Linked DNA regions of Rattus norvegicus. Each later gene encodes a partner of the first gene's protein in a complex. Links are inferred from orthologs where the notes say so. Each region holds a gene or a part of one and is shown on either strand. Other genes may lie near its edges.

Region 1 (4,285 bases):
TGTCTGCCCTGCTTTAAACTCCTAAACAGGAGGCACCTTCAATAAATAATCAATCAACCAATCAATCAATCAAGAGAAATTATAAAGAATATGTAGGGGAAACTTATGGTAACCAGAAAAAAATCTTGGAATGAGGCCTCACACTCAAACAGTAACTACTAAGTGTGCAATCCTGGTGTGCTTTAAGATCCACAATAATAAACGTTTATTCTCTCTGCTTCATGAGGTTAACTGTAAACCCGGATACTGGGATACAAAACTATAAGAACCTTTCCAGAGCAGATTGTTATTGTCCACTCACAGATAGCCACGGTGACTGTAAAATGTTCCTAGGTAGAAACTGTCTTAAGATTATTACTTTAGGAGTTGGAGAGATAGGTCAATAGTTAAGAACAAGAAAATTAAGACTAATTGAGCTCCAGGAACCCACAAGGTGATCCACAAACATCTGTAATTCCAGTTTCAGGGGATCTGACATCCTTCTTCTGACTTCCCTGGGCACCAGTTACACACGTGGCACACACACATTCACGTAAATAAAACACTCATACACATTAAAGAAAAACTTTAAAAGAAAATTATTTTACTTTTTTCTTGCCCCTAAGGCGGACCAGAGTCGGAGGGAGGTGGGGAAAGGGGCGCGAGGGGCGGGGGGGAGATTGAGGGTGAGATAAAAATAATAACACAAAAGAAAAGGCACCCAAATGCAAATGGGCTTTAAAAACCATTATTTCAAAGCTAACTACTTCACCGGGAGCCTCTTCTTACTCCACTGGCCCAGTTTCCACAAGTCTCAGCAGGAGCTTGGTTGGGTGGAGGTCCACGCTGGCCAATAGAAATCAGCTGTATTCTTACAGGTTTCGCAGCAGGTGGAGAAACTGAGCGTGAAAAATTACTTAAACGTGGGCTCGGTCTTTTACCGAGGTCAGGGACGCCCGCCTGATTTGTCCTCCTCTACTAACAGGAACAGAAAGAAATGTTGGGGACCCAGTTTCCTAATCCCTTCGCCCCGCAATCCCGACTAGTAACACCTCCATCATTAGCCGAGTATATTCTCCCCGCTCCTGAGAGTGTTGGAGGGACCTGTGGTTGTCCTTTATTGTCTAGAGAGCACCTGCCAGGTGGCTGGCCCGTGCCTAATGCGCGCGTGGCGCCTGGCTTCACAAAGCGCGGGCAGCACCTGCGTGGTCAGCCAGCCGCCTCGGGCTGAAGAACCACCGACGGAGGGAGAGCGCTGGGAGGGAGAGGATTCTGGGTGGAGGGCCTATGGGGGCTCCAGGTCTTAGAGGGCACAGCGCCCCTGGAATCAGCATATTCCAGTCCGAGAGCCCCGGGCACCAGGCAGCGGGAGGGAGTGCGACCCGGGCGGGAGAAGGGAGGGGCGTGGCCACGCGCTGGGAGGAGGGCTGGAGGAGGGGCTGTCGCGCGCCGCTAGTGGCTCTGGGGGCTCGGCTTTGCCGCGCTCCGTGCACTTGGGCGAGAGCTGTAGCAGAGAGAGGAGCTCAGAGTCTAGCGCAGCCACCGCGATGAGAGGCGCTCGCGGCGCCTGGGATCTGCTCTGCGTCCTGTTGGTCCTGCTCCGTGGCCAGACAGGTGGGAAAGAGCGGCAGGCAGGAGGATTGCACCCCCTGTGGGCGCAGCCCGGGTCCGGGAGGGGTGCCACCTGGGTGCGTCCAGAGTGGTAGCTTTTGGCTTTTCCCAAGCCTGTGTGTTACAGCTACAGCGAAGGTGGCGGGCGGACGCTGGACTCCGGTGGCTCGCCTCGCTCACCTGAGCTGGGAGACCGCAGCCCAGGCAATGGAGACCCGGGGCCGAGGGTCTTCTGGGAGCCGGGACAGCGGCTGCAGGCTGCGGGCGAGTTTGGTGATGCTTTTGTGCCGACTAAGCGCGGCCTCGGGCTTCGCAGGGAGAGCGTCCTCTTTCCTAGTGAGGTGCTGCCACGGCTCCCTTTTTGTTAAAAGTTGCGCGTGGGTGACCGGCGCCCGGGAGGACCAGCCCACGGGTCCCCGGACGCACGCTGGGCAAACTTGGAGAGCCTTTTCTCGGGGCCGCTGCTTCCCCAGCTCGGGCGCTCTTTGTGCACAGTGCTGGGGGCTCAACCGCAGCCGCTCTCGTCGTGCGCGGCGCCACCCGTGGAGACGAATCTCGGGCTTGCTTGTCCCCTCCCCCCCGTTTTTTTGCACGGGGAGCACGCGGCGTGAGGCTCTGGGGCGGGACCCCACGAGCCTGTAGGTGGCGGCTATGGGGACAACTTGAGCCGGGCGTGTGGCGAGCAGCCGCTAGGTTGCAGACTTTTTCCTTTTGTAAATCTCGTGCTAGAGACTCGCCCCTCTCTGCAGCCGCACGGTGTTCATTGCTGCCACGCGCCAAGGGAGCTGCTGTAGCCTACGTTGGCTGCCAGCTTCTGGGAAGCAGCGACTGCGTGCGGGGACGCAGCTGTTCTTGCCACCTCGTGCGGGCTGCAGCAGGACCAAGTCAGCCCGCTCCAGCTTTGGAAACCTCTGGTTTTAGTGTGTGTGCCTTGTAATCGCAGGTGGCCTTTTTTGCGGGGGATCCCGAGATCCTGACACCCTCTCCCTCGTGATAGCCATACTCAGGGCTGCCTAGGGAGGCTAGGTGGTGGGGGTGAGGGGTGAGAGTAAGCGTCCTGCAAATAGCATTTGTTTCTGTTCTGAAAACCTTGTTACCTCTGGAGGGTAACTTGGGTCTCCAGATCTTGAGGCTCCTGGAGCTCCTCAGCCCTGCCCCTTTTTGCCAGGTGTCGCTGGTGCACTGCCTGTGCAGGTTGCCTGATTAGTCCCGGAAAGCTTACTCTCTCCCAGGTCATTTTCAAAACAAAACCCAGGAACCTTTTAAGGTTACCCTGATGCACTAGAGAACAATCTGCGCGCTGGAGTAAAGCGTCAGATGGCCAGCATCTCTGTGACCTGTTTTGAGCCTACCGTTTGGCGGTTGCGTTTTCCTGATCTCATTCCCTCAATGCTTTTGAAAGGCCGGGAGAGGGCTTTCCTGTGGGGGAAGCCTTGCAACGGAACCTCTGCACTAGGGGAGGGGTCATGGGGGGTCACAAATGAGTGTTCAGATTCCTAGGTGTATTTGACCAGTTAGCTGAAAATGACCCCAGTGATCTTTGTGTTTTCCACCTTGTTCTGCTTTAGACCAAGGTGGAGCACCACAAAGATCACAGTTCCCTTTTGAAAACAGAAACGGGTCAGTGGTGTGCATTTTCCCCCTGGTTAGTGTGCTCTGGCCAGTAACTTTTTGGCAAAGGGAATTTGAAGGTCTGATTCCTGGCACACAGTGTGTTTGTAATTCCCTTCTCTACCCCAGTTTCTAACCTTCTTTGCCTCCCTGGTTGTGTGCCCTTGGGCGGTCATTTAAATTGGGAGTGGGTGGGGGGCTTGGGTTTCCCTGAAGGTACTTGAAAACATTTGCATCATGAAGGATCAGGGGGAGTTCAGAATTTCAGAAAGCTGCTTTCTTGTCTAAGGGCCATTTGGGGTGTGTGTGTGTGTGTGTGTGTGTGTGTGTGTGTGTGTTTTTTTTACTGTTTTGCTCCCGGCTTAGGTTTAGCGGGAAGCAGTTTGTATTTTTGTTTATGTTGTAGCCTTTGGAGGGCTAACATGTGCCTGCTTTGCAGTTACCCCTCCTTCCAGGGCATTTACAGCTCAACAGGATGGCTCAACAGGATGGCCCTAGAACAGTGAATCAGACGTCCCCCTGTTCCTGCAGGTGCAAGCCTCTAGTCATTCATGCACCTGGCATTCTGGTTTATGATCCTGCTGGAAATAATCTGATAGTTCCGTGTGAAGAGATAGACCCTAATAGTTAAACTTCTCCCCCATTCCGGGCTTTCCCCACCCATCCACACATTCCTTTTTCCTATGACGTTATAAATGGCATGCCTGCCGTGCTTGTGCAACACGCTTTCTAGTGTGCTTTCCATATTATATCATGGATGTGCTTTGTGCATATGTGGGGCTTCACAATCAGCAAATGCCTGCCAGGCCTCGAACTGAGAGCTTTGCCTGCCATTTCTGTACTCAGGGGGCACAGGAGGTTGGACCACAACAGCGTCTATTCCCTCTCCTCTACTGTTTTCCAATTGGAGGATAAGTCACTTGGCCAAAACAGCCAGCGAAGGAAGCCGAGCTCAGCTCCATGTGCATCCCTTATACAGAGTCTGTTGTAAAGTAAGATACTTACAAAAGTATTTAATGAGTGGTTACAATAAGTCCAGCCCTGTTGGAGGTTTTGGGGGTCCAGGACTGCTCATCTGGGTAAG
Region 2 (4,292 bases), on another chromosome or scaffold:
TTAGGCATTTGTATTTCTGTCTTCATGAACAGTTGTCTTGGTTTGCTAGGAGAGATATAGAAGCAGAGACAGAAAGAGCCTGTAAGTCTAGAAGTTTTTCCCAAGGGGAATTCCTTGTTTTCCTTCTTGAGTTGCTGAAACTCACACTTGTAGAGACTTCCTTAAAAGGGGCGAGGTGGTGCCTTTCTATTTGGTACTTTTGTCTCAGAAAATGTTGCTCTAAGTATTTGGTTTATGGTCTGGTTGTGTATAGAATTTTAGGTACTATTTACTCAGGAGAAATATGTTATGTGGCACTGATGAATTAACCCTAAAATCTCACTGTGCTATAAAGGATGAAACTTGGCTTTTGCTTTTCTAGTTTTTGGAGGGATGGGTCCTTGTGACTTCTTTGGATCCGTCTGCTCTTCTGTAATTGCTGTCCTACCTCGGGCAAGTGGAGAGGATGGCAGGTCCAGAGTTCAGCATATGGTTGTGCAAGAATGCCAGGGACTGTGGAAGACTCAAGGAGAAAGAGCCTTTGAACTTTTGGGGTGACAAAGTTGGAGGTTTGAAAGCATTCCCCATCATCATATGCCTTTCACTGTAAAGAACTTGGGCCAGCTAACTCTGGTTTACAGCAGTTGTTTCTTCCTAGAATTTTTTTGTAGTTTTTGTTATATCTGCTTATACTAAAACCTCATAATGGTTTGTATCATTATTATTCTTTTATTCTTAAAATGTATAATTTCATTGATTTTTAAACTTATGCTTTCTAGGAAAGAGCTTAAGCCTTCATTTGTAATTTCTTCCCTCTCATTTTTTGTTTTGACTTCTCTGAAGTTTTGTTGTTCTTGTTGTTGTTTTGATTTTTCTTTTTTTGCAGTAGGAAGTCCTGGATTGATTTGTTTATTAATTATTTTTTATTTTCTCAGTTTTTCATGGCAGTCTGGGGGGGGGGTTGTTTTTGTTGTATTTAAATCTTTAATGGATTCTGGTTATCTAACCTTCCTGCACTGCCTGGACTTATTTCAGAGTTGTGATCTTTCTCAGGGGTGTGTCTTCTTGTCCTCCATTCTAGGAGGCTTGACTTGTGGTTATTTTTTCAGTGCTGGATCTAGGAAGTAGGCCTTGGCACAGGCGCACTTTCACTGAGCTACTGCGGGTGCCGCAGCTAAGGCTAGCCTAAGCCTTGTAACTGTTCCCAGTTGTCATACTTTTCTTTTGCTTTCAGGTTTTCATTTTGTCTGGGGAAATGGTAGCATGCTGGTCAGATTTTTGTCAACTGGACATAAGCTACAGTTATTTGGGAAGAGGAACTCTAAATTGAGAAAATGCCTCCATAAGATTTGTCTGTAGGTAAGTCTATAGTACATTTTCTTGATTAATGATTGATGTGGGAACAGTGACACTTCTGGGCAGGTGATCCTGGTTGATAGAAGAAAGTAGGCTGAACACGCCATAGGGAGCAAGCTAGTAAGCAGTATTCTTTCATGACTTTTGCTCCAGTTCCTGTTTTCAGGTTCCTGCCTTGAGTTCCTGACCTGACTCCGATGGACTGTGATCACAATGTGTAAGCCAGGTAACCCTTTGCCTCTCCAAATTGGTTTTAGTCATGGTGTCTTAAAGCACTAGAGACCCCAGCTAAGACAGGTAGCAATTAACTTGTATGCTCTTTCTTGGTCATGATGGGTTTTTGTTGCTGTTTGTTTTTTGAGACAATTTTGCTGTGTTGCCAAAGCTGGAGCTCACTGTGTTGTCTAGTTTAAGACCCTCTGTAGCTCCTCATTCTTATGCCTCAACCTCTCAAGTGATAGGATTGTAGGCCTGTACTACATACCCTGCTCAAGAACTTTATGGTTAATTAGGCCTTCAGAAAAACCAGCAATTAGCTGGCTTGTCTTCCCCACCCCTCTTTTTTTTTCTTGTGTTAGAGCTCAATCTCAGGCCTTAGTTTTCCATATAAGATAAGTAAGCACTTTGGGCTATATCTCCAGCCCAAAGCCAGATGATCTACAGTAGACAATATGAATAGCTTTAAGTTATATCATATTATTTACATTTATTTATTTTGGGGAGGTAGGTTTGTGTGCATGTGTGGAGATCAGACAGTAACTTATAGGAGTTGTTTTTCTCCTTTCACTATTTAGGTTCTGGGATTGAACTCAGATCATCAAGTGTGGCAGTATCAATACCCTTTACCTGCTTGTAGAGCCAACTCACTAGCCCATGATGGATAATTTTATTTTAGCTAGATTAGTTTACAAAACAATTAGTCTTTTTGTGAGATTGTTAATAGTTTTTGGTTAACAGGGCTGCATTGCTTAATTATTATTCTCGGAGATTTGATGGATAAAGTTTACCCTACCTCTTTGTACGTTTGATAGTAAGTCTTGTGTGAATTACTTTTTATATCTCATATTTGTTATTCTAAAATCTTACTTTTTTAAAGTTTTTCCCACTTATCTCCAGGTCCCATCATATCTGCCCTTTACCCTTGTAACTTTCCCCCCAAAATAAAACACACACGCAAAAGCATAGAAAGTTCATTGTAGAAGCTGTAGTGTGTCACAGTTGTCCCACAGTATATTTCTCTGTCTATATATCTTCACTTGCAAATGTTCATTGTAATGAGTCATTGGTCTGGTTTGAGATCTCTGGTTTCTGTGACACCATTAATATTGGATCCTGACTGAGACTTCCCTGTTATCCTCTTATTGCCCTATGTCATGGAGATCCTGAAATTTTGGATTAACAAGATTGGCCCTTTTATGTTTTCCCACCATTCACAGATGATAGAGTGAAATTCTTAATTCAAGTGTAATTTTGAAAATGCAATTGTTTTTTACCATAAGCTCATAACTTACAGCAGAGATTAAAAAAGCTAGTGTGTTTTTTATGCAAAAGCATTGAATAATAATTTCTTTTGGGATTGGAACTTCTGTGTTATGACCTACAGACTCTGAGAACAATCAAAGAAACTTTGTTACTCTTTAGTCATTATTTGTATGTTTGTGTTGTCTGTCAGAATCTGAGTTAAGCTTTCTTACTATAGTAGTTCAGTGCATCAAAGAGATTTTTATACATGAGCATGTTCTTAGAGAAATCACGTGATAGCATCATTCTGTTGTATTCTACCCAGAGTAAAAATGTAGATCTTCTTTGAGTTTTATGTAATTGTTCAATTTGTTTAAAACTCATCAAGAACTTAACCTACTTGATATCTTAACCAGAAAGGATACACTTATTTCATAGGCAGTGCAAGTGATGAGCATTTTGGAGAATGTATAATATTTCAGCTGAAACCATTCTGTTGACATTTATCAAACTGTTAGTTTCTTTTAATTTTCAACTGTCAGTTATGTCGATGTATCCATGAATTCTATTAAAACAATTACATTTACAACACAGACAGCGTTTATAATATTATATAACTTATCACTAAATATTACAATAGATCTTTTCAAAAAGTCAAGTATAATTGTGACTTAGTCAACAAAGTGGCTATGTGGGAACATGCCCAAGATTTCCTTTATCAGTGTTGCCCTTGTGCCACTGGTTTATTTTTAAGGAAGGAGTTTGTTGAAATGCTCAATAGTTATTTTATAGATGACCTGGATACAGAATGAAGGAGTGGGTATGTTTGTTACCATGTATTTTTAGTACACTAATTCTCCAACATAAAAACTGGTGTCTTCCACTATGCCACTGTTCAGAGTAGCACAGACCTCTCAGGTACAACAGTCCACAGACTTCTTCATACAGATGCCCTCTTGCTGATTCACCATAAGTCAGAGGTTCTCATAATGACCTCTTCTGATTAGATAATCTGTAGAACTCAGTAAAATACTTAGTTGATTGGTTTATTGTAAGGATTACATACCAGGAAAAGGTGAATAGAAAAGCTGCATGGGATGTGGTGTTGGGTATGATTTACAGCTCCTATGCCCCGTTAGCATGCCCTGCTCCCCCAGTACCTCTGTGTGCAGAAACTGGTGATCTATTAAGAGTGTTTTTAGCACCTGATCAATCTCTTGCTCTTTTTCTTTATTGACTAAGTTTTTATTCCCTTTACATCCTGATCATAGCCCTTCTCAATCTTCTAACTCTTCCCTTCCCTTCTGATGTGGGAGTAGGGCCAAAAGTTCCCACTCTGTAGTGTAGTCTAAGTCACAACTCTGCTGTGATGAAGAATTATTTGTCAGATCTAGGAAGATATTTTCATCACTCAGGAAACTGTAGGGTTTAGCTGTATCAGCAACAAAACAGAGACCAGACATTTCCTATGATACTAATCATGATGCTTTCAATTA

The links.
Region 2: the proteins of Kit (region 1) and Socs6 are in contact, whole or in part, in a crystal structure (PDB 2VIF), measured with the Homo sapiens proteins. The link is inferred for Rattus norvegicus from reciprocal best matches to the Homo sapiens genes KIT and SOCS6. Residues at the interface, in NP_000213.1 of Homo sapiens: Asn566, Asn567, Tyr568, Val569, Tyr570, Ile571, Asp572, Pro573, Thr574; in NP_004223.2 of Homo sapiens: Arg391, Glu395, Arg409, Asp410, Ser411, Ser412, Asp413, Ser419, Phe422, Thr428, Leu429, His430, Thr431, Arg432, Phe442, Tyr443, Glu444, Gln445, Val448, His460, Asp464, Ala469, Phe470, Cys471, Tyr472, Ser473, Arg474, Ser475, Arg476, Thr482.

The regions. Positions count from the first base shown.
Region 1 is NC_086032.1:32,976,010-32,980,294, reverse strand, and holds the start of Kit (mast/stem cell growth factor receptor Kit precursor), read left to right. Parts: upstream 1-1,482; 5' UTR 1,483-1,526; coding exon 1,527-1,593; intron 1,594-4,285. UniProt on the Homo sapiens protein: Tyrosine-protein kinase that acts as a cell-surface receptor for the cytokine KITLG/SCF and plays an essential role in the regulation of cell survival and proliferation, hematopoiesis, stem cell maintenance, gametogenesis, mast cell development, migration and function, and in melanogenesis.
Region 2 is NC_086036.1:84,404,720-84,409,011, reverse strand, and holds the start of Socs6 (suppressor of cytokine signaling 6), read left to right. Parts: upstream 1-1,212; 5' UTR 1,213-1,338; intron 1,339-1,488; exon of another isoform or gene 1,489-1,561; intron 1,562-4,292. UniProt on the Homo sapiens protein: SOCS family proteins form part of a classical negative feedback system that regulates cytokine signal transduction.